Notamacropus eugenii: one gene and its partners. The protein of the gene in region 1 purifies or fractionates together with the protein of each later gene. This does not show direct contact. Links are inferred from orthologs where the notes say so. Each region holds a gene or a part of one and is shown in the gene's direction. Other genes may lie near its edges. The genes, in order: ADRM1, ECPAS, PSMA1 and PSME1.

The links.
Region 2: the proteins of ADRM1 (region 1) and ECPAS purify together in Homo sapiens (affinity purification with mass spectrometry; 3 studies listed by BioGRID and IntAct, with this or other methods). This does not show direct contact. The link is inferred for Notamacropus eugenii from reciprocal best matches to the Homo sapiens genes ADRM1 and ECPAS.
Region 3: the proteins of ADRM1 (region 1) and PSMA1 purify together in Homo sapiens (affinity purification with western blotting; 5 studies listed by BioGRID, with this or other methods). This does not show direct contact. The link is inferred for Notamacropus eugenii from reciprocal best matches to the Homo sapiens genes ADRM1 and PSMA1.
Region 4: the proteins of ADRM1 (region 1) and PSME1 purify together in Homo sapiens (affinity purification with western blotting; 3 studies listed by BioGRID, with this or other methods). This does not show direct contact. The link is inferred for Notamacropus eugenii from reciprocal best matches to the Homo sapiens genes ADRM1 and PSME1.

Annotation. Positions count from the first base shown.
Region 1 is NC_092872.1:500,848,921-500,856,045, reverse strand, and holds the start of ADRM1 (proteasomal ubiquitin receptor ADRM1), read left to right. Parts: upstream 1-3,939; 5' UTR 3,940-4,247; intron 4,248-5,830; 5' UTR 5,831-5,837; coding exon 5,838-6,047; intron 6,048-6,473; coding exon 6,474-6,590; intron 6,591-6,964; coding exon 6,965-7,088; intron 7,089-7,125. UniProt on the Homo sapiens protein: Component of the 26S proteasome, a multiprotein complex involved in the ATP-dependent degradation of ubiquitinated proteins.
Region 2 is NC_092874.1:403,759,308-403,766,686, forward strand, and holds the start of ECPAS (proteasome adapter and scaffold protein ECM29), read left to right. Parts: upstream 1-4,214; 5' UTR 4,215-4,302; coding exon 4,303-4,339; intron 4,340-7,379. UniProt on the Homo sapiens protein: Adapter/scaffolding protein that binds to the 26S proteasome, motor proteins and other compartment specific proteins. May couple the proteasome to different compartments including endosome, endoplasmic reticulum and centrosome.
Region 3 is NC_092877.1:37,944,839-37,952,068, reverse strand, and holds the start of PSMA1 (proteasome subunit alpha type-1), read left to right. Parts: upstream 1-4,201; 5' UTR 4,202-4,587; coding exon 4,588-4,590; intron 4,591-5,922; coding exon 5,923-5,967; intron 5,968-6,243; coding exon 6,244-6,345; intron 6,346-6,485; coding exon 6,486-6,589; intron 6,590-7,230. UniProt on the Homo sapiens protein: Component of the 20S core proteasome complex involved in the proteolytic degradation of most intracellular proteins. This complex plays numerous essential roles within the cell by associating with different regulatory particles.
Region 4 is NC_092878.1:9,149,898-9,157,642, reverse strand, and holds the start of PSME1 (proteasome activator complex subunit 1), read left to right. Parts: upstream 1-4,652; 5' UTR 4,653-4,859; coding exon 4,860-4,898; intron 4,899-5,717; coding exon 5,718-5,750; intron 5,751-5,948; coding exon 5,949-6,011; intron 6,012-6,150; coding exon 6,151-6,261; intron 6,262-6,344; coding exon 6,345-6,390; intron 6,391-6,519; coding exon 6,520-6,617; intron 6,618-6,916; coding exon 6,917-6,985; intron 6,986-7,077; coding exon 7,078-7,145; intron 7,146-7,338; coding exon 7,339-7,393; intron 7,394-7,512; coding exon 7,513-7,599; intron 7,600-7,745. Other genes in the region: DCAF11 (DDB1- and CUL4-associated factor 11), read left to right, coding at 252-358, 482-613; FITM1 (fat storage-inducing transmembrane protein 1), read left to right, coding at 2,748-3,013, 3,493-4,114. UniProt on the Homo sapiens protein: Implicated in immunoproteasome assembly and required for efficient antigen processing. The PA28 activator complex enhances the generation of class I binding peptides by altering the cleavage pattern of the proteasome.

The DNA of each region.
Region 1 (7,125 bases):
TTAATGACCATTTTGATAATTCCTTTGGAGTCACAGTTTTGTATTTTCCTTTCTCTGTCCTCAAGATATTTTTACCAAGATCTTGTAGAGAAAGAGACAAAATGGAGAGAGTGTATATTTAATCTGATGCACTCCCCAAACATGAGTCTAACAATTTTTTTCCTCATTTGGCTGATTAGTGCGATGACCATGAGTGAGTAATTTTATCTCTCTGGACCTCAGTTTCCTTGTTTTTGTAATGATGGATAAGGCTTCTAAAGCCTTTAGCTCTAAAGTTTTGAGATCCTACAATCAGTGAGTCAACATTTGCTCTTAGGCCTCTAAGTGGGGCAAAACCACCTTATCTGTGTCTGTTAATACGATGCTTGTCTTTAATTTACCTGGCTACTGGTGGCAATTTACCCTCATCAACTTTTTCACTTTTTTTTAGAGGTATTATATACCATTTCTTAGAAGATAGAAGTGAGTCCTAAGCATACTTAAATCAGTAGTGAAAATCCTGCTACATATAGCAGTAACAGTAATGCATTGAAATAGCACTTTAATAATAGCAACATTGTGCAGTGATCAACTATGAACAACTTAGTTCTTCTAAGCAATACAGTGATCCAAGACAATTCCAAATGGCTCATGATGGAAAATGCTGTCCATATCAAGAGAGAGAACTATGGAGTGTAAATGCAGATAGGAGCGTACTACTTTCACTTTGTTTTGTCTTTCTCATGGTTTTTTCCCTTTTTGTTCTGATTCTTCTTTTACAACATGACTAATATGGGACCATGTTTAACAAGATTGCACATGTATAACGTAAATCAGATTGCTTGCCATGTTGGGGAGGGCAGCGAAAAGGGAGGGAGAAAACTTTGGAACTCAAAATCTTATAAAAAAATGAATGTTGAAAAATATTTTAACATGTAATTGGAAAAAATACTATTTACCAAAAAAAATATTGCACTTTAAGATTTACAGAGTGCTTTAACCCTACCACGATCTGTGTTGTCTTTGGTGATTTAGCAATGTGAATAAGGTGCAATGGTGGATTGAAACACTCCACTTAAAACTTTTTCTTTTACCATTCTCAGGGTTGGTAACACTGGATTTATCCAGCGGTAATTTGATGTGTTTTATTTTGCCTTTTGTTCAGTCCTTTTTCAGTCATGTCTACCTCTTTGTGACCCCATTTGGGGTTTTCTTGGCAAGATACCGGAGTGGTTTGTCATTTATTTCTCCAGCTCATTTTATAGATGAGGAAACTGAGGCAAACAGGGACAGATGACTTGCCTAGAGTCACACAGTGTTTGAGACAGGATTTGAACTCAGGCCTTCCTGACTCCAGGCCTACACTGTAGCACACTAGCACCACCCAGCTGCCCTTTCCTTTGCCTGTCAGAATGTAAATCGAATACATAATATGCAGAAATCACAAAGTCTGTCAGTACAACTAAGTATTTAACCTAATCTTCTGAAGATTGATCTACCAACATCGTGTTATCTTATAGGAATCTTTTTTAAAAAATTCCTCCTCAGGCAAATTTATACATTGTTTCCGTAGAACTGCAAATTGGGCTAGATTTTTTTTTAAGCTGGCTCATTCTCCTTGGCTAGAAAGTAAATGTAATAATACTGTACTTCCTTTGGTTAGGTTATCACAAATTGACATTAACACTTGTAATTATTTTTCACTAAGTTTGCATATTAGTAAAACTCATGTTGTATTAATGTGCTTATTCAATACTTTCAAAGCATCTCCATTTTGCTTTAGCATTAATTAATGTAAAATTACCATAAAGTAAATGTATAGATGATGTTTTCATAGACTGCTTTCCAGTAAGATGTATTTCTATCTTTTTATTAAACCTCTTATTACTTCTTAGGGAACTGAAAGATTTGCATGTTGGACAAGAAGGAAATCACAACTATGAGTAGATAGTAATGTTTTAAATTTTTGGCAAGTAGGAATTATGTCATTAATGTCTAGATAAAAGCTAATCTAAAGGAGAAAGTTATTTTCTTCCAAGAATAAAACATTTTTACAATGGTTGCTTTAATCCTAGGGTGTTGGGGCATTTTGTAGAGATTAGACTATGTTGCATGAGGAAAGTCGTTCAGTCAATAAGCATTTCTTAAATGGTCTACTGTGTGCCAGGCACTGTGCTAAGTGCTGGGGCTACAAAAAGAGGCACAAAGCAGTCCTCGCCCTTGAGGAGTTCACAATCTAATGAAGACTACAAGCAGACAACTATGTAGAAACAAGCTATATACAGGAAAAATAGTAAATTAGAAGAAGGCACTCAAATTGCGAGGTTGGGAAAGACTTGGAATTTTAGTTGGGCTTAGAAGAAGGTGTGATAATATTGGAAAGTGGGGCTGGGGGTGCTAAATTATAAAAGGCTTTTAATTGCAAATGGGAGATTTTTGTCTGATCCCTGCAGCAATCAGTGGCCTCTCACTCATGGTTAGTGAGCAGGAGCCCTGGGGTGACATGACTGAAAGTGCACTTTAGGAAAATCACTATGGAGGCTGTATCGGAGGGGAGAGAGACTTGAGGCATGCAAGCTCACTGGTAGCCAGTAGTGATGAGAGCCCCATTCCAGGGTTGTGGCAGCATCAGAGGAGAGAAGGGGGCAAATTTAGAGATGTTGCAAAGATGAAATCAACAGACCTTGGCAACAGTTTGAATATGGGGCTAAGAGATAGTAGAGGAGGTCGGGTGTCAAAGTGTCATCCTCTATAGTAAAAAGGATGGGGGCAGGGGAGAGTTCTGGGGAAAGATGAGTACAGTTGTAGACATGTTGAGTTTAAAATGTCAATCAATAGTCAAATTTTAAGACTTTCCTTTTCACTTGGCTTCACTACTTTGGGATTTCTCCACATGCCCCCATCCCCATCTCATTTCATCCTCTAACCATGCTTTCCAGTTTCCTTTTGTGAATTGTGTTTCCTCATCAGATTATAAGATCCTTGAAAATAAGAAGTATCTGTATATCCCCAGCACTTAACATATTGCCTGGCTTGTGGTAGGCGCCTGATAAATATTTACTTGATTAGTGAAATAGTACAGAGGTAGAAGAGAAGGGAACACAAAACATATCACACAAAGACAAGGAAAAGTACGGACATTGTTAATATTTATTCTGGCACATACTCAGGCTCTTATCTCGTGTGCCCAAGTGACTTTTTGAGTCATACTAACTACCTTTGACTTAGAGAACTAGAAAGAACAGTATACCTCTAGAACCCAAGATGTGAAGTGGTAACATTGCTAGGGAACTTTTTTTTTTAATATTCAAAGATAGAGAGGGAGACTATTTGGAACTCCAAATTTGAAAAAAAAAAAGAAGAAGAATGTTAAAATTGCTCCTGCACATAATTGGGGAAAATATAAAATATTAAATAAGAAAAAAAGAAAAGCACAGACTGTGTTTGTGTTTGTGTGTGTGTGTTACAAGCATCTCAGAGCAGAGAACCTGAGCTGAATGAATGAAGTCTGGCTCTTTCCCCAGCTTCCCTTCCTGTGCCTTTTCTATCCATAGCCGTAATCATCTGTTTTTTCATTACCCAAACTTTAACTCGAGATAGACTTAAGTACAAAGTTGGGGATTTTCCTGAGGGTTTAAAGCTATTGTAACAACTCAGAACTTTGGTCTGTTAAAATAAACTCCCTAAAACAGAAGAAGAGCAGGAAACCATCTAGACCCGGGAAGCTGTTGCCCACAGTGCTGAAGGCAAGCTAATTATAGAGTGTTACAAATCGATCCCCTTTCCTAGTTATCTGCTTTGCAAAGTCACCCATTTGGTCCTGGGTTTTCTTAAACCGAGGTACACGATACAGAGGGGCCTTTCAAGAGGCCTCTGTGTAATCCCAGGCGCCTCCGCTAGGGGCCGCCGCCGCTCCCCTATGACACAGCAACAATAGGGACCGCTCTGCCCCGCCAGACTGCGTGGTGATGGGGCTTCCTCTGCGCGCTGTGGGGTCGGCGGAATGAGCCGCCGGGGGTGGGTCCAAGTACGAGGGGAGAGAGAGGAGAGGGAGGAGGGAGGCCGGGAGAGTGGGGAGAGTGACGGACGGCCTCTCCAGCCAATCGGTCTCAGAGAAGCGCCGGTAGCGCGTCAGGCCCAACCCAATCAGCGCGAAGAACGGAGGGAGGGTGGAGCAATAAGAGATTTCCGGCCGGGCCGGCAGCTGCAGAGGAGGAAGAGCGAGCCGTAGTCGCTGCTCCTGCCGCGGTCCGCGCCCCAGGCCCTAGGTGAGAGCTGACGGCTGCTGAGGGCCCGAGGCGCAGCCCCACACCACATCTAGAGCCGGGGCCCGGGCCGCTCGGGGAGGGGGCTGTGGAGAGGACGGTTCGGGCGGGCGGGGGCCGGGGCCGGCGGCCGGGTGGGGGAGGCGGGGGCCGGGGGAGGATCTGCCCCGGCAGGCAGGGGTCGGGCCCGGGACGGGGTGGAGGGGCGCGGAGAAGCTGAGCGGGGGTGGCTGATCCTCAGGTGGCGGAAGGGCCGGGCTGGGAGGTCAAGGCCAGATGTGGGGCTGTGTGGAGGAGGAGGAGGAGTTTGGGGAGGGCCTGACCTCCCCGGTACAGAGTTTTCACGGTGGCTCCCAGCCCCCCGCCCCCCATAAAGCGCCTCCTCTATCACTTTTCTGCCTGTGTTTCCATCCAGTAATGCAGTATTTACGTCGGGCACTAGGGATTCTTTCTCAAAGATACCCTGCCCTGCTGGTGCCCTGTCAGTTATTTTCTGTAGTGTCGGTAGCTTCGTGCCAGCCCCTGGGAGAGCCCAGCCCGGGCATGTGAGCCTGGCCTCCGGGGAGGTTTTCCTCTAAGGAGAGAACATCACTTTTGACCGGAAGGACCAGTTCCATCGATAGAAATCCCTTCTCCAACCCCTTGCCTTCCCCTCCTCGGAAGAGAGTTTATGCAAGTGAAACTCAGTCTATCCAGTTGTAGAAACAAGGCACTTTGGTGGGCAGCTTTTTCTTAAAAAAATCAAGAAAATTCAAGACTTGGTGAGAAAAAAAGTTAAGCATAATTCATTCAGTAAACATTGATTTACAGTCTGTGTTCCAGACACCGCCAGGTATTGGGGGTAGAAAAAAAATAATCCTCTCCTTCAAGGAACTTAACTTTTACTGAAGTTTTCAATGAAAGGGCAAGATGCAAAGTTTTTTTTTTCCTTAATTTTTTTTTTAAGTTTAGAGTAGCATGGTATTATAGGAAAGATTGCTGTATTTGGAGTCAGAAAACCTGAGCGATTCCTAGCCTCACTTACCCTCCTATGGCAGTTAACCTCTGGGCTTTGATTTCTTCATCTGTACAATTGGTGACATGGGGTGGGGTACTGGATTTAAGGTCCCTTTTAGCTATATAACTGTGATCTCATGATCTCTTCAGGATGGAATTCTTTAATAACATTTGGGCTCATACAAAAGCAGCTTGTCTTGGGTAAGGTGTCTCTTTCTGAACTCCTGATGTTCAAGTCTTTGTATTGGTTTTGAAGGTCACTGAAACTTGAGTGTTTGCTTTTTAAAATAGATTTTCAAGTATATCTGAGTTTATAATTTCATTATGTGATTCTTTATATCTTTTCTGGGATACATGAAAGGGTATGGTTTGGATGTAGACTGCTGCTTATTTTTCAACAAAACCGTTTAAGGTGAGCTACTTCATATCCACCTTCGCTCTGAGCTATGGTATTACCTGATATAGTTCAAAGGGGCTAATTTTCAGTGCTGGTTGCTATTAATATTTAACATATAGAGTACATATTGAAGAAAGTTTTACAATTAGGACAATATGGTATAGAAAAATAAGGTATAAATTTGTTTTTCCAGTTTCAGAATGACTTCAGGTGCTTTGTTTCCAAGCCTAGTCCCAGGCTCCCGGGGCTCATCCAGCAAATACTTGGTGGAGTTTCGAGCAGGAAAAATGTCATTGAAAGGAACTACAGTTACCCCAGATAAACGGAAAGGGCTTGTATACATTCAGCAAACTGATGATTCCCTCATTCATTTCTGTTGGAAGGATAGGACTTCTGGGAATGTAGAAGATGTGAGTATTCGGTAATTTTTAAGTTAAAAATGAATAAATTTGGTTTTAATACTTTCCTTTTAAATGTTTGTATTATATCTTCTTAAAGATTGAAATGTCTTTTAAAAAAATTGGTAGCACCTCTCTGTGGTTTGAACTATGTAACATCATCAAATCACTTAAACGCTTTGTCCCTCCATGGGAATTGTACTAGAGGACCTCTAAGGACTCTTAACTCTCAGTCTCTGATCCTGTGATCTGTAGTACCCAAAGATAAATTTAGATTTGACTCTGTAACAGTCAACAAAATGAATTGCTGTTAATTGCTTTACATTTAGTCATGAGACTTCGTAAAAGGTGGTTTTCAGTAGCATCTTTTCGTAATGAGTTATAAGATAGACTTTTTTTCTGATCTTTCAATAACCCTTTACTTACCTTTTTGTCCAGGACTTAATTATTTTTCCTGATGACTGTGAATTTAAGCGAGTACCTCAGTGCACTACTGGTAGAGTATATGTACTAAAGTTCAAGGCAGGATCAAAGCGACTCTTCTTTTGGATGCAGGTTAGTGAAGTTTTTAACTTCACCTTTTTCACCAAACCCCAATTTTCATCTGAGTTCTTTAAACCATGGATTTATATACATATGTATATGGATTGGTCATTACCATCTCTCCCCCCCCCCCAACAAAGTGATATTTAGTGTATTATAGATCTGATGATGTATTGGTTTCTTGTCATGAGCATTCTGTATGGCCCTTGTGTACACAGCACAAATGTTTGTGTTAAGAGTCAGGATTTCCCTTGTGGAAATAACATAAAATGAAGATAAAGCTAAGTGAGGAGTACAAGAAAGATGGTAATTGTTCAGTGCAAAGATATTTTGGATCTTGGTCCATTTGAAATATTTTGTTAATGACCCCAGTTCTTCTCCTACAGGAGCCTAAGACTGAGAAGGATGAAGAACATTGCAGGAAAGTAAATGAATATTTGAATAATCCACCTATGCCAGGAGCTCTGGGTGCAAGTGGAAGTGGAGGCCATGAACTTTCAGCACTTGGAGGTAGTTACTCCTTTTCCAATTTGATTGTCAGTAGGAA
Region 2 (7,379 bases), on another chromosome or scaffold:
TTTTGGTAATTTTATGATTACATGGCTAGGTGAGTCAAAAATAGGTTTTCTTCTTGCTCTGGTGTCTTATGATTTTGCTCTACTTAGAAAAATTTCTTTTATATTCTCTCTGCTTACAGGGTTTGTCTGATGTAGTTCACTGTGGAAAATATTATCCAGTTAGGTCCTTTTAGAAGCTTTTCGCTGTCTTGCTCAGAGCAGTCTTTAACTTCAGTTTCCAACCAGTTGGAGATAAGACTAGATGGGTAGACTGGTTCTGGCCCATAGAGCACCTAGAATGCTGAGATAAGGTGTTTAGACTTCATTTAATAAGTAATAATCTATCAAAGGTTTTCAAACCAAGGACTGATTGGATTTGGGCTATAGGAAGATGAATATGACATCTTTATGTAGAACAGCTTGAACTGGGGAAAGACTAGAGGTGGGATGGATGATTTGTTGAGCTGCTACTAAAGCCATCTTTTTTTTTTTTTTAACTAAAGATGGTACTAGGTTGCTCCTCTTGCCACTTTGGATAGGAGGACCAGGGTAGGATTGGGTAGAGGAAATACATGTCTAGGGTGTCTCTGGAGTGGGGGATGGGGGAGGAAAGAAGCATTCTGATATCTATTTTTTAAATTAATTTATGCCCCCCTCACCTTGTCTTTCCCCTGAAATAAAATGAACAAAACCCAAATCCCTATAAAAAATAAGCACAGTCAAGCAATACAAATCCAAATTGGTCATGTTAAAAAATGTGTATTTCGGAATATTAGTCCATCACCTCAGTGTCTGGACATAGATTTCATAGCTTCCTATTTTAACTGATTATTATTTCTACCTAGGTAATAAGCTCAATTGTTTCTAGGAGTACAATTGTAGACAATGCCCTCTAAACTTCTGTGCCTTTCCCCCATTTCCCCACTTCAGTAATAGTTCTTACACAGCCAGGGACTTGAGAATAGACAAGGTTTCGAACAGCTATGGCATGGAATATGACAAGAAGTCACAGGCTTTTAAAACTTTGGAACCAAAAGGCACCTTAAAGGTCAGCTGGTTTGGTTTGTAACCTGGTCCTTGGACAGATTTCAAGGGGTCTGGGAACCTGAATGGGAATAAATTATGTCCTTAGTTCAATTCCAAGTGAGTTGCTTTGTAATACAACGTATTTTATTTTATTCATTAAAAACATTTTTCTGAGAAGGGATCCACAGGCCCCAACAGAATGCCTGAGGGGTGTGGAACCAAAAATGTCAAGAAGTCTTCATCTAGTCCAACACTGTCTTTTCTACAGAGAAGAAAACTGAGGTCCAGAGAGATAAGTAGCTCAAGGTCACAGAGCTATTAAGTGGCAAAGTCAGGACTCAAAACCAGGCCTCCTAATCCCCAAACTACTGTTTTAGATGCATAAAAAGATTGCTAAACAGCTTTTAGAGAGCACCAACCTTTATTTAGTGGATTCAATAGGAATTAAATGACCTTTTCCTGAAACATGAAGAAGCTTAGGAGCAATGGATGGTAGCATTTCACTGGTTTGTTGGAACAAGTAAAGAAGGAAGTCAAGGGACTGAGGGAACAAAGGCATGTCCAAGAGCTGGCCTGGGGACCCGGGAGGGATAGCAAATGAAGACAGAGTGCCAACGTCATGGGAAAATGGGAAAGGGTCAAGGTTTTGTAACCAGGATGAATCACAAACTCAGTGGTGACGCAGGGCACAGGTGGGGAAGAGAGGCTGTTCCTGGTGAATCACAGTCCCTCAGGGTGCTCTGAACACAGTAAATGCTTAACCCATATTCATCAGATGAGTAAGTATAACCATTCTATACTGTTTCCTCATCCGTACTAGCCCGTGTGCTATGCTGACTACAGTACTACTCCTCAGATTCGGACACTTTGAGTTTAAAGACCACTTCTGATACCTGCTAGACGTAGTGACCCTGGGTAAGTCACTCAGTCCCTCAGACTGCTCTGGGTTCTTATTGCAGAGCCAATGGATTGAGTGCTGCAACGGAGGTCAGAAATAGCCGAGTTCAAACCCCTCCTCGGGGCCAGTCACTTAACCTCTGCTGACTCAGTTTCCTTACCGGTAAGATGAGGATAGTAAGAGCACCTAGGAGGGCGGTGGTAAAGATCAAGTGAAATGTTTACAAACATTCTGCGAACCCTAGAATGCTTCCTAAACGCTAGCTGTTGTTATTGGAATCAAAAGCATGTGAAAGCGCTTCCACGGCATTTACTACGGAAATGCAAGTTATCGTTATCACAGACACCAATTCTACAACTTTGGCCCCCATGGAGCGCCCCTCCACTCCTTTCCCAACTTCCCCGTATCTAAAACTTAAATTTTTTTTTTGTCGGGGGAAGAGGAGGTTTTCCACTTTCTTCCTTTCCTGCTTAAACTGAAAGGAGGATAAAAATCACACTTTTGCAAAAAAATCTCATGACTAGGATTACCAAAAAGTTCTTTATAGCTAATAAAAATAGGAAGTTTTAATAATTCAACGTAACTACGGCCCAGGTTCGACTGTGACGGACCGGTCCTGCAGAGCACTGGCTCTGACTGCCGGTTACCGACCCGGTGACCCTTCATCCCTCCGCTCCACCATCAGGTGGATGACAGGAGATGAGCAAGAGTGCGGAGGGGGGCGCGGGGCACGGAGCGGACCCGGGCACCCGAGGCGCAGGGCCGCAGGTCTAGAGCCGGCAGGCCCGTCCGGGTCGTCCGGTCCAGGTGAGGACACGCGGTGTCCAGGGCTCCCCCGGGCAGCCCCAGGGGCCTGACACGCTGTGCGCCTACTGCTCCGGTGCGGAGTAAAACAAAAGCAGGATTCAGCCGGTTCCAATTCTAGTTTTCATTTCGGAGACCGCGCGGCACAACGTGCGGAGCTCTGACCCTGGAGGAACCCCGGGTTCCCACCTGGCCGTGACCCGGGGTCAACGCCCCCACCTCCGCGCCGCCCCCACCTCCGCGCCCGGGACCACGCCGGCAGACCGAACCTCGGGAAGGTGCGCGGCCCCGAACCCACCCAAGTCTGCTCCCTACATCGCAGGTCCAGGACCTTTCCCTCGTCCCTCGGACACGACCCTGCGTTTTTGGGGGGCGGGGGGCGCGGGGCGCAGGGAGGGGCCCGGCCGGCCTCAGGTCCCGCACCGCGTCCCGGCCCGGCCCGGCCCGCGATGGTTACAACAGAGCTCTCGCTCCATGGGCCGGGCCGCGGGCGCCGCGCGAAGCAGCTGCTACAAGCTCCCTCCGCAGATAGGGGGAGAAACTCACGCTTTTCTCTCTCTCCCTTTCTCACTCGCGGGTTACCCAGATCTCCTCCTCCTCCTCCTCCTCCTCCGCCAAGGGGAGCGCACCGTCTCCGGCCATGGAGGTCACCATGGACTCAGGTCAGTCCCCCCCCACCGGGCTCGTTTGCACACGAACTGCCCGGAGGGGCTGGGGGAGGAAGGGACGCCGGGGGAAGGAAGGGGGGCCGGGAGCGCCCCCCCAACCCAACTAAACAGCGGCCGCCGGGAGGCTGGGAAGGGAGCTCCGCGCACCGGCTGGGAGGGTCGGGGAGCCCGCGGGGGCGTCTCGCGACCTCCCACGGTGCGGGGAGCTCTAGGATTAGCGAGAAGGGGGGGCGCGGGGCGGCCGATGCCGGGGAGAGAAAGGGGAGCGCCGGAGGAAGGAGGGAGGTAGGGAGGGAGGAGCGGGGAGGGAGCGCGCGCGCGTGTGAGGAAGCGGGGGGAGGGAGCGGGGAGGATGGCTCAGCTTTTTCTAAATATAAAACTAAAGGGAGCCGAGCGGGCGAAGCGGGGAGACGCAGCCGCGGCGTGGGGGGCGCGGGCCCGGGGGGGAGGAGGAGGCGGCTCCGGCAGCGCCGCCTCGCCGTCTGTCCCGGCCGGGCTCTCGGAAAGTCGGGCTAGAGCTGGAGAGGGCGCGAGACGGAGACGAGGAGAGACCGAGACGGAGGGCTAGGGAGAGAGCCAGAGAGGGAGGGAGGGGGGAGACCGACGGGCTGCGGGCGATCGGGAGCCGGCCGAGAGGCTGCAGCGGGGCCGCAGGAGCCACGCAGAAACGGTCGGAGGAAGAGCGACCTCTCTCCCGCTCGCAATTTCGCCACCGGCGGGGAGAGACAGGCCTGAAGGGAAGCCCGGGAGAGGTCGCGGCCCGCCCGGCCGCAGGAGCGGCGGGAGCGGGGCGGCCTGGGCCTCGGACAGGCCTGGGCCCGCTGCGCCCCCTCCCCACTCCGCCCGCCCCCGCCTCGCCCCCTCCTCTCCGCCCCGCCCCGCCCCCTCCCACGGCTCCGCTCGCTCCCTCCCTTCCCCGGGTGCAACATGGCTGCGGCCGCCTCCGCCTCTCAGGACGAGCTCAGTAAGTGACCCGGGCGGACTGACCAACGGCTCCCCCACCTCCTCCGCCCCCGGGGCGGCTGCTGCTGCTGCTGCCCCCGCGGCTGCCCGGAGCGCGGAGCCACGCCGTCGGGCCCCCCGGGCGGCGGTGTCCTTGGGCAGGCCCGGGCGGGGGAGGGGGCGCGCGGGGGACGTTTTTTAGTTTTGCGGGCGGGGGTGGGTGGTTGGAGCGGGGCCCGGGCGGGGGAGGAGAAGCCCAAGCTGCCGCCGCCCTGATTGTTTTCAGGCCTCTGCTTTGCAGCGTCATGTTGTGAAACTGAAACCCCAGTTCCGGGCGGGGCCTCGGTCTTTGCCCCTCGTGGGGGGGAGGGGGTGGAACTCACGTCCGGACCCCGATCCCCCCATCCCCCGGCCGTAGCCTGCCCTGCCCTGCGAGGTTTTGGAACAGGTGGTGTGGAGGGGAGGGATGCGTGTGCGCGCGTGTCTGTGTGTTGCGTGTGTGATGAATGTGCATGTGTGTGATGTGTACGTGTCCGGGGTGTGTGTGCGGGATCAGTGCGTGTGGGTGCAGGTACTCCTCCTCGGGCCCCCCCCACCCCCGTGCTCCTCCAGGATCTGGAGACCTTGCCATGCACGTCTCTGCCTCTGCTCCCCCCTTCCTCCATTAATGTTTCGCATGATGCTGGAGGAGGGGGAGGGTCAGTCTCAGAAAGAGCAGGCACTTGTCACATTCCCCCTCGTCCGCCCGCATTTTAGCTTCTCAGTGCCAAGGTAGGTGGCGGGTCGGCGATCTTTTTGTGCCCGCTTCGGGGGCAAGGCCCGCACTTCCTCGGGAAGAGGGGTCGTTAAATTCATAACAGGGAAAAAACTCCAAGAGCACTCGATGTCAGGGAGAGCCACCAAATGCAAAATTTCAACCATTCCAAAGAACAGAGCCATGTTGAAGGAGCTGTGACATCACACAAATTGGAGGCCCGACCCACCGGAAAACATTTAGATTCTAATGCATCATGGGAAATGTAGTTCTTTTGGAGGGGATTAAAGAAAAGCTTGCGTGTGTGCATGTATATATGTGTACGTATGTGTCCCCGCCCCCTTGAATGTTGCCATGCAGGAAGAGCCTCATTGGCATCTCCATAAAGATGGATCATATACCCAGAGCTGGAAGGGACTTTAGAGGTCATCTAGACCAACCATCTCTCTATGCAGAAAAACAAACTGAAGTCCAGTTGACTTAGCCACAGAGGCAGTACATTTTCACAGATGGGATTTGGAACCAAGTGGTCTGACTCCAGAGTTGCTGTTGTTTCAACCACACTGCAAGCCTTTTTAGTGTTTATAAGTAGGAGCCTTGAAAATCACCTTCATTTCTTTCACTTTTGCTCCAGTGTAAAGAAATGATGTTTGGAAATCTTGTAAATGGAATGGATCGTGATGAAGGTAGAGAGCTTCACAGAAATTGTTATTTTATTTTCAAGATCAGCATGTTCTGAGAGGGACTTTACAAACTGGAAGAGGATCTGAGGAAAGTGATTAGCATGATAAGGGGGTTTGAAACCCTCTTGTCAGGGAAGGTTGAAGCGACTTAGAGATGTTTATCCTGCATAAGAAAAGACCTGAGTATAGGGGATGGGTAGGACCATATAGGTATTGGATGAATATCAGTTTAATGTGATTGTGGAAGATGTATCAGAGTATATAGATAGATATGTGCATGTGTGTGTGTGGTATGTGTGTGTATATACATATATACATACACACACATATGGTGTTACCTGTGACTAGTATAGAACCAATTGGGTAGTAAGATGACTTTGACCCAGCATAAGGAAATGTTGAGTAGAACCCACTTTTCAGTCATACTGTAGGTCAGCTAAATACATTGAAAAGGTTCTATTGGATGACTTCTGTAATCGCTTGTAAATCTCATTCTTTTCCAATAAAAAAATAGCTACATAATAGATTTTAAGAACACTTTTTTTTTTTAATTTGCCTATTTTGAAACAAACTGTGATGTGGAGGGAGTAAATAATAATGGTTTAGAATTATATAGCACTTGGAGATTTACAAAGTGTTTTCAGATGCAAGCTCTTAAACAATTCTGTGAGGGAGGCATGCAAGTATTACCCTGTTTTATGGATGAGAAAACTCAAGTTCAAGTTACCACTTGCCCAAGGTCATATAGCTAGCTTGTGAGTATGAAAAATCCAGGTCTTCTAATTACAAGGCCCTACAACACATAAAGATATAAGGATCCTATGAGTTGGAAGACCTGGATAAGATGAACTTGTAGTGGTAAATAACAGTACTTTATTAGCCGTTAAATTAGATGTCGTTTTTCTGAGTGACCTTGTCCAAGTCATTTAACCTCTGTAGGCTTCTGTGAGCTGATAAAATGAGAGGAGGAAATCCTTTGAACTAGAAGAAACATTGAAGCTTTCTGTTTGCTTTTAGAATCATAAAGCGAGTTAGGATGGTTTGACTGTGTCTTCTAAACTGGCTGACTTCCCAGAATTCTGTTTGGAGCCAGGCTTGTATTGGTGAAAGTATTTAAACGTCAGCTAGATAAATTGGGAGTTACTGGTGATGCTATTTGGGAAGTGAGTTAAAGGACTGGAGCTGCATAACATACTTGGTCTATCAATAACTTGCAGTATGGCTTTATGCAAGTCTCTTAACTTGAACCATCTATCTTGGTTTCTGAAACTTATAGAACTGGTCAGGTGCATAGCAAAAATAACCCTTAAATAACCAGTGTTCAATTTAGTGCCATCATTTTTAACCTGAAAGAAAATTTCTGCACTTAAATATCTTGAATTGGTTTAGGACTTATATTTTCTGTTTATAATTTCTTATTAAAAATCATAAGTATGTAAGTTACGTTTTTATTGAAGATAGTGATAAATGGTATAATTCACGTTTATACAGAGCTTTAAAGTCTTAACAAGCACTTTCTTCATAAAAAATGTTGTGCAAGTATCCCATCTTATGAAGACCGTGGGGATGAGAGATCAGGTCGAACTCAGGTCTGTTGAGTCTAGTGCTTTTTTTTTCTCCAACAT
Region 3 (7,230 bases), on another chromosome or scaffold:
TCAGTCAGACTGACTATTTTTATTTATTTATTAAGCATTTACTATGTTCTAGGAATTGTTCTAAGTGCTGGAGACAGGAGGAAAACAAAAAAGCAAAATCATGGTTCCTGCTCTCAAGGAACGAGGGTGGGACTCAAAAACAACGATGTACGTGTAAGACATAAATAGAGTGAATGAAAGGTAATTTGACAGGGAAGAAACTAGTATGAGAACTAGTAAGAAGAACCAGGAAAGGACTCCTAAAAAAAAAGATCTGAGCAAGCCTGAAGGAAAGAAGGGAAGCTAGTAGGTAGTAGTAACAGAGAAGAGAACTCCAAACATGGGGGATAGCTAGGGAAATCCATAGTCAAGACATAGAGCACTGTGTGCATGAAACAGCAGCTGTTGGATCATAAAATGTGCGTGAAGAACTAAAGTATAAGAAGGAAGACTAGAGAGATAGAAAGAGATCAGTTTGTGAAGGGCTTTAAATGCCAGACAGGGTATTTTATATTTGATCTTGGAATTAATAGGAAACCACGGAAGTTTATTGAGTAGCAAGGTGATATGATCAGATCTGCAGTTTAGGAAAATCACTTTGGCAGCTTAGTGGAAGATAGATTGAAATGGGGGAACCCTTGAAGAAAAGAGATCAACCAGAATGCTACTTCAATAGTCTAGGCATGTGATGATTAGAACCTATACCAGGGTAGTGATAATGTGAATGGAGAAAAGGATATGTGTAACAGAGATGTTGTAAAGGTAGAAATGCAGCTTGAGATTAAGTTATGAAGGGCTTTAAAAAATGAACAAAGGAACTTTTATTTTATTCTAGAGGAAACAGGGAGTCACTGGAGTTTATTGAGCAGGGCAGAAATATCATCTGACTTGCCTACAATACCCCTATACCCTTTCAGCTGAGGGCCCCACCTCTTACTTTATTGGGAAAATTGAGACCATTTAACTTCCATCCTTCTTCTACAATTTTCATCTTCAGATCATCCCTCACTTTCTACCTTTCCTCCAATTTCTGATCATGAAGTGGCCCTTCTTAACATGGTTGACTCTTGTAAATGTGCCCTTCATTCTGTCCCCTCCCTCATACTATCGGCTCTATCATCCTCACTCTCAGATCTTCAATTTCTCCGTCTACTCCGTGCTGCATTCAAACACGCCCAAATCTCTCATATCCTTAAGGAAAACAAAACAAAACAAAACCCTGTACTAGACCTCAGTATTCCCTCATGTGTGATCCTATATCTCATCTCCCTTGCTTAGCCAAACTAGAAAAAGCTGTCTGCACTTATTACTTACTTATATACATGTTGCTTATTTACTACTTCTCTCACCCAACCCTTTGCAGTTTGTCTCCTCACTTTATTACTCAACTGAAACTGCTCTTTCCGAAATTACCAACAATCACTTAGTTGCCAGATCTGGCAGCCGTCAATCCTCATCCTTCTAGACCCATCTGCTGAATTGGACACTTTTGACCATCTTCACTTCTTGGACTTTTATGATCCTATACTCTCCTGGTTCTCCTACCTATCTAACTGATTCTTCTCAGTCTCCTTTGCTGACTTCTCACTTGTAACTATGGATGTTCCCCGAAGCTCTATCCTGAGTCCTCTTCTCTTTCTATATTCTCTCTTGGTCAGCCCTCCCTCACTCAAAAACAAAGTCAAGTTGCAAGTTATGTCATTATTTCTCTGATGGCATGGTCTTCTCCGTCAACGAAGGACAAACACACATTCTCTTAGTGACCTTATTACTTCTCAAGGGCTTAATTATCTTGTCTATGCAGGTGACTCACAAATATATTTATCCATCATTAGCTTCTCCCTAGAACATTAGTCATCACTAATTCTCTCATGGCTGGATGTCCCTAAAACATCTTAAACTCAACCCATTATATTACCCACCAAACCACCCCTCTTAACAGTCTCTCATTCTTTCCAAGGCACTACCATTCTTCCAGTCTCCTAGGTTTGTAACTTTAGCATTTTCCTTGACTCCCCACAGCCTCTCACCTTACATATCTAACCACCTGCAACATCTTGTTCTTTCTGTTTCCACATCTCTTGCATCTGATCCATTCTCTACTCACACAGCTATTTACTACCTTACACTGCAGCTACTACCTTAGATTCTCATCACCTCTTATCTAGACTATACCAGCATCCTACTAATTGGTGTCTCTGCAACAAGCCCCGTCCTACTCCATTCTCTACACAAACTGATATTTCTTTTTTGAAAAAATGTAAATAGTATTTTATTTTTTCCAATTACAGGTAAAGACAATTTTCAAGACCTGTTTTTTATAAGGTTTTGAGTTTCAAATTTTTCCCCATCCTTCCCTCCTCTGTCCCCGAGACAGCAAGCAATCTGGTATAGGTTATACCTGTGCAATCATATAAAACATATTTCTACCAAATTGATATTCCTAATGGGAAACAAGGAGAGAAAAGGAAGTTTGGAATAACTTCTGTGGAGAATGAGAAAAGGAATCAGGGAGGAATAACAGAAATGGAGTTGGATAACACAAACTTATGATGATCTCACTGAACAGAGATATGCAATTTCCTCCAGCTCTATTTAGCACGAGTAGGTGGAAAAGAGACAGAAGAGGAGAGTAATCCAAGCCTGAGATCTGACAAGGAATAAGTGGTCATAGGCAAGGGACTGGGGGATTTGAGAGCAGAGGACAGTGTGGAGTTGAACTGAATAACACAGGCTTGATATTGGAAAGGGAGGAAAGTGAAGTCAGAGTAGGAAAATAGCCTGAAAAAGTACTGATGAGGAGAGGCAATGGAGCTCCCAGTGAGAAGGAAAAATCCTTGCCCCTACTGACAGGCAAGCTCAACCAGTTTATCTTCCAACCGCAAATAACAGTCTGGACAAAGGCATTCTTCATCCACTTGGTGTTTGGTATGTAACTAGTTGGGCAAAACTCAAGTGATTATGAATCTCATCTAGGAGGCTCTGGAATAGTCTGGGAACTGATATAAACAGCACAATATCATCCACAAACAAGTGTCTGGAGGACTTCCCCCTCCATAGGAAATCCTTCTTTGACTGGGACTCTCCATCGGATCTCTTACATAACAGCAGCACTAAACATCTCTGCTTTGTTGGATAGTAATGATTGGAAGGTTCTCTTTCAAAAACTCATGAATAACTTTGACAGGCATATGAGCCCAACCTTATCAGAAGAGAACTTTTACAGTTTTGCTCTGCTCAATCAAATGCTTTCCTATTGTTAATAAAACAATGAGCACAGCGGGATCTGGACATTTTCCAGTTAAATACATAATGGCAAAGATGCCAAATTAAGTCAAGTATTTAAGTGCTTACTATGTGCTAAGCCCTGGAAACACAAGCAAAGTAGAAACAGTCTCTGCCCTCAAGTTCATCATCTAAAGGGGAGAGGGGAGGTCTTCTTTAGAGTATATATATGTGTATATATGTATATGTGTGTATATATGTATATGCATGTATGTATATGTATATATGTATATATACACACATATATTTTTTTTTTTTTTTGCAAAAAGTTGCCTGATTCCTCCTAACATCTTCAACAAGGCTGTCTCCTTCATTAGACTGTAAGATCTGAGAGGTCTGGGGCTGTTTTTGCATTTCTTTGTATTCCCAGAACTGAACACAATGCCTGGCATATAATAAGCACTTAATAAGCTGCCTCTGTTGCTTTTCTATCTACTTAAATATCTATACATAAAAAAAATTAAAAAATCTATATATAACACTATGCCAACTGTATCCATTCACCTACTTGTCATCTGGCTCTAGGATTTCATCCCTGGAAGAAGACCAGTCTAGACACGCCCTTGGCCGTGGGGATCACTGAACGCTTGTAACTTACACTTAGCCTCATGATCACGTGCGCGCACGGCCACGTGCGCGCAGAGACACGTGGCGACCCTCGAGGAGGAACTCTAACTTCTCCCCTGGGCTGGGCACCAGTGTACATTGACCTACACAATACATAATGGCGATTCTGAATATCAAGAATGCATGACGTCAGTCACGCCCCTGTGTACCATCACTCTCCCTACTTGGCCAAATTAAATATAATAGAAACTGCTGCCGTTTCTGTGACCCTTGAAGGTTATAAACAGGTACGACATTTATCTACAGGTGTGAATGGAGACACAGAAATACCCGGCATCTCTCGGGATAGAAATCTGCATAGGCCCCTCCCAAATCATCTAGGCCTCCATCCTTTGAGGGAGGAGGGAACTGGAGCCTGCGCTCGCTGCAAGCCGGGACCTGGGCCAGCTGGGCGAGGAGGACGGCAGTGTGAGGGAGCCTGGGGCCTCGCGCTTTGGAAGGGCCTGGCGGAAGTGCGGGGATTTCCCGCCCAGCCTTAGCCTCGATCTCGTTCCTGCAGGGGTTGGGGCGGGGAAGGAGGGAGGAAGGAAAAGAGATGGAGTCGATCGATGTCTCTCTCCTGGATTGCTCTTGCCTGCGCCGTCGCCGCCGTCGCCCCGCCCCGCAGGCCCGCTCTGTCGTGCGCCGAGCAGCAGCCGCCGCCTCGCCTGGTCCCGCCGCTCCGCTGGAGGTCTCGGCTTCGCCAGCACCGAGAAAATGGTGCGTCCAGGGGAGCACAGAAAGGGTGCGGGTGCGGGATCCTGGGGTGACCCCGGAGGTCTGGGCCTCCAAGCGCATTCCTCCGGGGCCGGAGCGAGCCGGCAGGCACAGCAGGCCGGGCTCCTCGGCCTGGTGAGGAAGCCGTGATTCAGCACGTCGCCCCGGATGCCGGCCCATCCTCGACCTCGGCGCCCGCGGCCTGCTTCTGCTCGCCCTCCCGCCAGCGGCCCCGGGCCCTGGGCCTCCGCTCCTTCCCTGGGGGCCCCGCGGGGGCCAGCGCGGGTGGAATTTCTGGGTATCCCTTCTCCCCCCCGGGGGGGGTTCTGTTTCCCCATCCCCCCACGGGTTTCCCCGCTTTGCCACCCAGCCTTCCTGTCCATCCCGCATGGACTTCCGGGGAAACTGAGACCCAGAGTGGGGAAGGGCCTACCCCAGAGCCTTTGTAACTGTCCCCAAGGATCTCTGGCCCCTCGGGCCATCACTGACTGCCGGGCAGGGCCTTGGAGAAGAAACCTCCCTGCTCCCCCAAAGGAGAGAATCCTTGCAAAGCGCTGTGTAAACGTTGGCCACGATCGTCGGGGTCATTGTTTATAATATGGGAAACAGACCCCGGCGACCCAGCAGGGGCCTTGGTGGGAGCCCCGGGACCCCCCCTCCTTCATTTCGCTCGCTGTCCATGAACCTGCCGTCGCTGGGGTCCCCGAAAGCTTCTGACACCGCCCTGGGGCAGCTCCTCGGAGCAGGCTGCTGTTGTCCGAGGCCTCTTCCGTCAGCTTCCCAGTGAATGAATGTGTGCCTCCCGTTGCACGCCGTTGTCAGATGTGTTGTTTTGGATTCTGCCTTTCCCTGCATTCTTTCTGTGCCCGGGGTACTGTAGCTATGTGAAGTTAGGGGCCCTGGGCTCAGTTACCCAGAGGTAGACTCCTACCAAGTGTGAGACCTCCCAGGGCCTGCTTCTTCCTTTCTAAAAGACCTCCTAAGGTCCCTTCTCGCTCTGAATGCTGTGAGCCTATGAACCCTCTTCACTGAGTTAGGATATGGTAGGCGTTTGGGAAAGGGGATGTGTTTCATAGGTGTGTGAAGAGATTTTTATGACTTCATATGTACGGTTAATACATTGACTGCCTTCTGGATGGGTGGGGGAAGGAGGAAATTTGGAACTTAAAAATGAATGTTAATTTTTTAATGTAATTGGGAAATGTTTAACGAAATATATCTTGAAACTAATATTAAAAGTTAATTAGAAAAAGAAAGGCTGCCAGTTGTCAGGTCACCAGCTAGGGTTTGCAATAATGCCCTTTATATTTAATGCAGTTTTTCCTTTGCTTTCAGTTTCGAAACCAGTATGACAATGATGTCACTGTTTGGAGCCCTCAGGTAAAAAAAAATTCCCTTCCTTTTCAATTGTTGGGAATATCCTGGTAGTATTAAGAATATATTCAGAATATATCTTATGAGATCCTGTCATGGCTTAATCTTACTGAATAAATGACAGATTTCTGCAGACATTTCTGGAACTTCATCTTTGTTACTGAAATGAAAGCTAATACCAAAAAGTTAAAAGACCTGATTCAACTACAAAATAATGCATTAATCTTGTAAAGTTTTCTAGGATATCTGCTTTTTCTAAGTAACAGTTTTTTTCTCTTTTAGGGCAGAATTCATCAAATAGAATATGCAATGGAAGCTGTCAAACAAGGCTCAGCTACTGTGGGCCTGAAATCCAAAACCCATGCTGTACTGGTTGCTTTGAAAGTAAGTAAAGTAGAAAGTCAGATTTCCAACATAAATATTTTACATCCTTAAGAACCACTTTAACTTCAAATTTCACTGCAGAATAAGCCGTACCAGACTAATGTTTATTTTCTTTTTCTTTACTGCCTCTGCATTTGTAGAGGGCACAGTCAGAACTGGCAGCTCATCAGAAAAAAATTCTACATGTTGATAATCATATTGGAATCTCAATTGCTGGGCTCACTGCTGATGCTAGACTCTTGTGGTGAGTACAGAATCTTTTGGGGGCTATTTCTGTACTAGAATAATAATCTCATTTTTAAAATGATATAGGGACAAGTTTGGCCAAATGATACACAGATTAGCATTTATGTTTTTGAGAGATGACCAGAACCATCTAATGATAGTATTGAACTACTGTGGAGAAAGAGGCAGTTTGACAGAGTGCCAGGTGCAGGATGCTCTCTAAACTAAACTAACTTGGACCAGATCAGAGGTGTTTCATGCACACAGGCTACCTTAGCCTGAGCTAGATGCAGTTGTAATTGGCAAATAGAAGTGGATATGCTATGCACAGGGATCCATTTCTAATGGAGTTTGACATTACTCCTGTAGGCGATCTCTACAGTTCCTTCCAATCCCAAATCCTATGATCTTGTGGGCATTTGAAGGAGTATAATTATTCCTGATAGCTCTTTGGAAGATGTTGTGGGGGAGAGACCTGAGTTCAAATCTGGACTCAGACTTTTACAAGCTGTGGAACCCTGGGCAAGTCATTTTATCCCTGTTTGCCTCAGGTTCCTCATCTTAATGATAGCACTTGCCTCCCAGGGCTGCTGTGAGGGTCTGATGAGACAGTCATTGTAAAGCACTTAGCACAGGGCCTGGCGAAGAGTAGGTGCTACA
Region 4 (7,745 bases), on another chromosome or scaffold:
TAATAGGCTAAGCTGGTAAGAGCTTCCCATAAAGCAGGGATTCTAAACCTGTAGTCTGTGAGCTTCTTTTTTAATAACTTTTTCAGGACAATTGATTTCTCTTGTAATCCATGTAATTTATTATTTAAAAACTTATTCTGAGATGGAGTCCACAGGCTTCACTAGACTGCCATAAGGGACCCTTGCTAGAGAATAAAATGTAGATGGATGATACCTTAGTGGCCTTTCTCATTCTTTCCTTTCCTGTGTAGTATATGACCTCCTCAGTGGCCAGATTGTGAAGAAGCTGTCCAGCCACAAGGCCTGTGTACGGGACGTCAGTTGGCATCCCTTTGAGCAAAAGATTGTCAGCAGTTCGGTGAGATTGGCAGAATCAGGGAAGGGAACAGGAATTGAATGGTTCTGTGAGGGTTTGAGTGATTCATGTAGGCTCAAGGCTTCAGAGGGTCCTCCTCTAACAACCTCCTCTTTGCCCTTGTAGTGGGATGGGAACCTGCGCCTCTGGCAGTACCGTCCACTTGAATACTTCAGGGAGGACCTGCTGGATTCCCAGGACTGTCCTACTGCCACTCCGCCATACAGAGCCTATGGAGCCTATTCCACCTCCCAGTAATTCTTTCCTGTCAGTATGGACTGATCTGTGCAGCCCCCACGGGGAATCACCTAATCTTTTCTCTCTCTCTTCAGGGAGATATGTGGAAGAGCTAATAGGGTTAGGGAGCAAGGAGCAGAAACCCTAGCTTTTCCACCCTAACTGTGCTCTGGGTGGGGGTATCCTGCCCCTTGAGGCTGGGTTGTGTTTTTAATCTAGTGCTGTTGCCCAGCCTCCATCCCCACCTGGAGGGCAGGCAGGACAGACAACTCTGGAAAATAAAGAGGTCACCCCCAGGTAGTTATTTAGGTATGGTCCTAGCCAGGCAGAGAATGCTTATTTTTTATAATCATGTTTGGATTCTGAGAGTTGGTCTGTAGACTAGTGTTCCTGGGCTCGGTCTAAATGGGTTGGCCAATCAGAATCTGATTACCATTGCCTGGCCCAGTAGCATGGACCTTCAAGTTGAAGGTCAGACTAGCCATTCAGAAGGTGGGTTTCCCCACCACAGCTCTCCTTTTTTCATGATGACCAGAATGTCATTCCTTCTTAGTCAAGAAGTAAAGCTATTCCCTCAGGCTGGGAATCTGCTCTCCCTTGTGTCTTTGGAGTAGGAGGTGCTACAGTGTAGGAAGTCCTAATGCCCCCATCTTAATCCTTGTGGAACTGACTCTTCAGCTTGTGTCCTCTCAGGGCAGATGGGTAGAGGAACTCAGCAGGTTGAGGTGGGGGTCCTTCCTGTCTTACACTTGCTTTAGCGCCCTCAATAAAGTTTCCTCAGAAATCTGACTCAGTCTGGTTCCTTGTATACTAAGGCTCTACATAAACCTCTCCAACTCCACAACTGGGGCTGAAATGCATAACACAATGTACAGGAACCTAAAAGCTAGGACATGCTCCTTTGGGTTGAAAATACACCTCAAAGACATGTGCTTTCTACTTTCTCTTAAGAAGACGAACGATAATCCCCCACTAAAAATAAGGAATTCGCTTGGAGTTTAGTCATTTACCCACTCCAGGAACCTAAAACATGTATTTTCCCCAGCAAATAAAGGTAGAATTTGGAAGGGAGTAAACATGGACCCCCTAGTATACCAGATTCAAGTCTCCTTTCAAAGGAAAAAGTAGTTCAGTGTGATGACCACTTCACAGACAGATGACAGTGCATCTTACTTAGATAGATAAAACCTGAGAGTTGGGAAGGATGTTAGAGGACCAGCTAATCTAAAGTCACCCTCTGAGAAAGTGTGTCATGTCAAAGAGAGATTGGTTGACTTACCCAAGGTTGTGCAGTTTGGTAATGGCAAAACAGAGGGAGGACCATAGTCTTTCAACTCTTGCCATATTGCCTCCTGGTATGGACCAAAATCATGCCAGATATTTAGGAAGAGGGGGAAATAACAAAAACCTTTCAAAAATGTGTAGAGTAACAAAACCAGGAAAAGGTTCCTCCCGGTTAGTCTAGTGAGGTAAGGTGGAGCATGTCCAAGGACTCCAGTTGTAGTGACCTGCTCCAGCCCAATTATTAGTACAGGATGCAAATTTGAGGTTGGAAGATGCTATGCAGGACTGCTCTGCTCCCCCTTCCCAACTTCCAAGGACTCCAGCCTGGACCTGACTGTGAACCAGGCCAGGCCTACAACTCTACAGCAGCGTGGACCCCCAGAGCCACTCCAAGGCCCAAGTCGAGGGTATATTGGAATGGGTCCTTGCCTTGCTCCACCTACTTTGGAAAATTCCTGCACCAGATAGGGAAAGTTTCATGTGAGGATGGCCATACATGTCTTTAAACTTGAAAAGTTGATAAGCTGCTTCCCCTGAGCACCCCTCCTCCCTTTTAAAAATGGACAGTGAAGTAGGTGTGTTGGCTGAAAAGTTCAGAGGATATAACCATGGAGGCACTAACCCACAAATTGAAACAAGGAAAACTGAGGACACAAGGGCATGGACGTTGTGGAAGGACACACAGACTGCTCTTGCTGACGCAGCAGCGTTAGCCACAGCCCCTCGCTGCCCCCCGCCCCTCTCCCTCACCAGCTGCCAGTCGAGCTCTGCCCTGTATCTCCAGCACCTGTCACTGCCCGTCCTTGCCTAGGGGGCCCTACAAGCCCCTCCTCAGCTGCCCAGCAGAGCAAGCAGTCAGAGGGGAGGGAACATGGAGCGGGGGTTAGGGGTGGGGGCAGGGACAGGATTGGGGGCCCGGCTTCGAGTGGTGCTGGGCTGGTTGCTGAGGGTACTGCTCTGGCTGGCATCAGCCCTCTTGTACTTTGGAAGTGAGCAGGCTGCCCGACTCCTGGGGAGCCCCTGCCTCCGGCGCCTTTACCATGCCTGGTTAGCTGCCGTCGTCATCTTCGGACCCCTGCTACAGTTCCATGTCAACCCCCGCACCATCTTTGCCAGCCACGGCAACTTCTTCAACATGTAAGTCCCTCTGGTCAGGCCCTTTAATGCTAGTTCCATCCACTCTGGGTTCTAAGCTCCCCCCTCCTTTGGGCTCTTGTCCTACTGCCAGTCTGAGCACTAAAAATAGGCCAGGAGGTGGAGGAGAAGGTCAAGTGTGGGGGGAACTATGGGGGTGCAAAGGGAGGATTTAAAAGGTAGGACGTGCTCTGAGACTGAGAAGTCTTTTAGGGGATTAGGGGGTAGGGGAGTAGAGGGCTGGAGATGATAAAGAGGGGGCAAAGAACAGGGGAAATGGAGAGAGTTAGTGATTTGGCCCGGGGTAGTATGAATGGGTGCAGAGATGAGATGGGGTCAGAAGGCAGAGGAAGGTGGCAAAGGTCCAGGGGGAGGAGAAATGGGATTCCTGAAAGGCTGAGAAATCCAGAAGAACCTGGGATCCAAAAAGGAGTGTTTCTTCACCACAGCCTTTCCTCCCCTCCCCCTCTTCTAACCCACAGCAAGTTTGTGAACTCTGCCTGGGGCTGGACCTGCACCTTCCTGGGAGGTTTTGTACTACTTGTCGTGTTCCTGGCCACGCGGCGAGTGGCAGTGACAGCTCGGCACTTAAGCCGGCTGGTGGTAGGGGCAGCAGTATGGCGAGGGGCTGGCCGTGCTTTCCTGCTCATTGAGGACCTGACGGGCTCCTGTTTTGAGCCTCTGCCCCAGGGGCTGCTGCTCCACGAGCTGCCTGACCGTCGCAGCTGCCTGGCAGCTGGCCACCAGTGGAGGGGCTACACTGTCTCCTCTCATACCTTCCTGCTCACCTTCTGCTGCTTGCTCATGGCTGAGGAAACCGCAGTCTTTGCTCGGTACCTGGCGCATGGGCTGCCTGCTGGTGCCCCTCTGCGACTCGTCTTCCTTCTCAACGTGCTGCTGCTGGGCCTCTGGAACTTCCTGCTGCTCTGCACTGTCATTTACTTCCACCAATATACCCACAAGGTGGTAGGTGCTGCTGTGGGTACCTTCGCCTGGTACCTCACCTATGGCAGCTGGTACCATCAACCCTGGTCACCAGGAAGTCCCGGCCATGGGCTCTTCATCCACCCCCAGCGCCCCCAATCCAGACTTAAACGTGATTGATGGAAATAAAGGCCAATCAAAGCCAGGAGCCGGCTCTTCTCTTTATTTGAGGTGAATAGTGGGTGGTACCTCAGTTGAATATTGGAGGTTAAAAGCACTACAGAATGGGAACGACCCGAAAATGCCTTTCCTACATTCCAAGTTGATCCCTAACATAGCCTAGGGCAGGATTGGGGGGCGTCTCCAAGAAAAGGAGGATGCCACAGCCTACCATCCCACGATCCCACACCCCTTCCTCAGTTCTCCTCTGATACCTTTTATTCCCAGCACCCTCCATGAACAATTCCACCAAGAGGACATACACACATATGTAGACAGATGGAAACATGTCCTTCCCACCTGGTCTGTACAATTGTGTGAGCCCATGTGACACTACAGAGAGGAAGACAGATTGAGAAGGGATGAACGGTAGCCTTGGGGAGCTGGGAGGAGAGAGAGCTCATCCCTTTGGGTCAAGAGGTACTTGGAGACAAAGTCTGAGCATGTCATGAGGGGCTGGAACCAGACAAAACAAACATACAGAGTTTGGAAGAGGCTTTCTGTCCCTACTCCCTGGGACTGTACTTTGGAGCCCTGCCTCATCTCCTCCAGGCCCTCTCGTTTCCCCTCCCCTCTTCTAACCCAGATCCCGCCTCCGGCTCAGTTCCACCCTCCCAGGGAGGTCCCTACAGATAAAGCTGCTTTCACTTTCCCTTCCCCCTTGCTCCTGTCTCACTGCTCGATCTGGCCCCTTAACCCCCCTGCCATGGCCACCTTCAGTGTCAGACCCGAAGCCCAAGCCAAGGTGAGCACAGCAGAGGGGAGGGGTGAAGTCATGGGGAGTAGGGTGGAGGGGAGGGGTGGTCCTGAGGGAAGCTCTACCCAGCTTTGTGCCATCATTCTCCCCTTGCTTCCCCTTGCCCATTCCCCTCCCCCCATCCTCCTCTCCTAGGCCTCTCAACAAGAAGGGGTTTGAGAGTACTTCGGAGTCAAAGTGCTCTTGCCCCCAAATCTCCAGCATGAAGTGAGGAACCGCAGCCTTGCAGGGTCTAGAGCACTCCCAGTGAAATGTAAAGGGGAACTGGGACCTATAAAAGAAAAACTAGGCAGGTGTTTGGGGTGGGAAAAGAGTTGGACTTCAGCCAGAGGGAAGGGAGTGGTGAAACGGCTTTGGTTTGATGGGGTGAGGTGAAGCAGAGAAAGGAGGAAAGGACGGGTGATGGTTCAGAGCACCTGGCTCGCGCATGTGACAAGCAGGCAAAACCTGCACACCCGTATCTCTCTCTATCTCAGAATCTTGCTCTACTGGGATCTGTTCCCACACCTCTCCCAGCACCACTGAAAACTATTCCCACACCTCCCACAGATGGAGGCCCACTGGGATCAATTCCCACGTCTCCCTGAACCCAGTCCCCCGGAGACTTCTGTTCCGTACCTCCCACCCATCTAAGCCTCCCTGGGATCTGTTCCCATGTTTCACCTGAACTCAGCCCCACTGGGAAGTGTTCCATACCTTGAGATGCAATCTCACTAATATCTGGGTCCACAATCCCAAGGAGATAAGAAGTTTTCCTCAGGTCTCAGCCTGTTGGCCTTACATGACAACTGTCTTCTATCCCCACAGGTAGATGTGTTCAGAAAGGAGTTATGTGCTCAGGTAAGACCTCACTATTACACACTACCTTCACTCTGTTCCTGGATGCCTCACCCCAAATCTAACGTATCTTTACCCCAATCTCAATTCACACAAATTTGGCTTCCTTTTCTTTGGCTGAAAGTTTGCCCTGATCAACTGTTCAGTCAATCAATCAATCAACATCTGACCTCTACCCCTTACCCCCTACCTCATACACAGGCAGAGATCCTACTTGGAACCTATTTCCCGGTGAAGGTTTCAGAGCTGGATGAGTTCTTGAAGGTACTGGGGCTGGGGAGGAGGCAGAGTAAAGGTCAAGAAGAGGGATATTAATGATCATGGGAAAGGAAGGAGAGTGGGAAGATAAGAAATGCTGAAAGAGAAAACATTGACTGCTCCCCTTTCTCTCTGCCATGTTTAGGACCCATCTCTGAATGAGGCTGATCTGAGTCTCCTCAAGGCCGCCCTGGACATCCCCATCCCTGACCCAGCCAAAGAGAAAGAGAAGGAAGAACGTCGGAAGCAAGAAGAGGTAAGGGGGGAACAAGATGGGGCTAGGCTGGAAATATCTGAATGCTTAGGACTTGACTTCATGTGACTCCTCTCCTTCTGCAGAAGGAGGAGAAAGATGGAAAGAAAAAAGAGGAAGATGAAGATAAAGGTAATAGGGGGTCATTTGATGGGGGCTTAAGTCCTGGTTCCCTAATGGATACAGTATCCCCAGGAGATCCTCCCCAGGACCAGCTGCCTTCGCCCACTTGACTTTTAGGCTTATGGTATATTTCCTCAGGTCCTCCTTGTGGACCTGTAAGCTGCAATGAGAAGATTGTGGCTCTTTTGGGGCGACTGAAGCCTGAAATCAAAGATGTGAAAGAACAGCTCAATGTGGTAAGCCCGTAACTCCTCACCTAGCTCTCTGGAAGGACTTGGAGAAGGCCTGTCCATTAGAGAACCAGCTTATCCAGAACAATTCCCCTTTGCCTTACCAGTTGGTAAGGTACCCTGTCAGTCAGAATACAGTGCCTTATCAGAGTGGAAAAAGGGAGATTGGATTGTGGCAGGTGATATCAGGGGATATGGCCTGAGGCTTAGATGGTAGAGATGGAGTGATACAGAAAGCTGAAGATCTAGAAAAGGAAATGGGATTGGGGGACAGAGTTGAGTTGTCTCTGCCCTTGTTTCCCCAGGTTTCCATGTGGCTGCAGCTACAGGTGCCCCGAATTGAGGATGGAAACAACTTTGGAGTAGCAGTCCAGGTGATGATACTGCCCCACCCTAAACACCTTACCTTGATCCTGCTTTGGAGCCATGCTTTATCTCATCTCTTTCCTACCTTTCTTTTCCTTAGGAGAAGGTATTTGAGCTGATGACTACACTTAGGACTAAGCTGGATGGCTTCCAAACCCAGATCTCAAAGTAAGTGATCCAGTCTCACATGTATATCTTGCCCCTGTCTTAGTGGTTTCTGGCTCAAATTCCAGCTCTTGCTTTCCACTCTCATTTTAGGTGCTGCCATTTTGGTTTCTTTTTTTTAAAGTCTTCTATATTCACCTCTCATAAGGAACATTACTTTCCCACCCACCCCATAACTTTTCTCATTCCTCATTAGGTACTTCTCTGAAAGGGGTGATGCAGTGGCTAAAGCAGCAAAGCAACCACATGTGGTGAGTGAGGAAGCAGGTCCAGAGTGGGCAGAGGCATAATTCAGAAGGAAGCCCCCAGGAAGGATAGGATGGGCATTAGATAAGGCCAGTATGAAGAACTAACCCTGAAGTCTCCACAGGGTGACTACCGACAACTGGTTCATGAACTGGATGAAGCACAGTATGGAGAGACAAGACTCATGGTCATGGAGATCCGAAATACTTATGTAAGGAACTAGACCCTGGAATTTGCTTGGTGGAAGAGCAGAGGCAAAGTTGGGAGGGTTGATATGGAGGCAAATAACATTAGCTTCAGGACAAATGACTCACGAGGTATACCCTGTGAGGGGTGGGAGAGAGGAAATGAAAATAA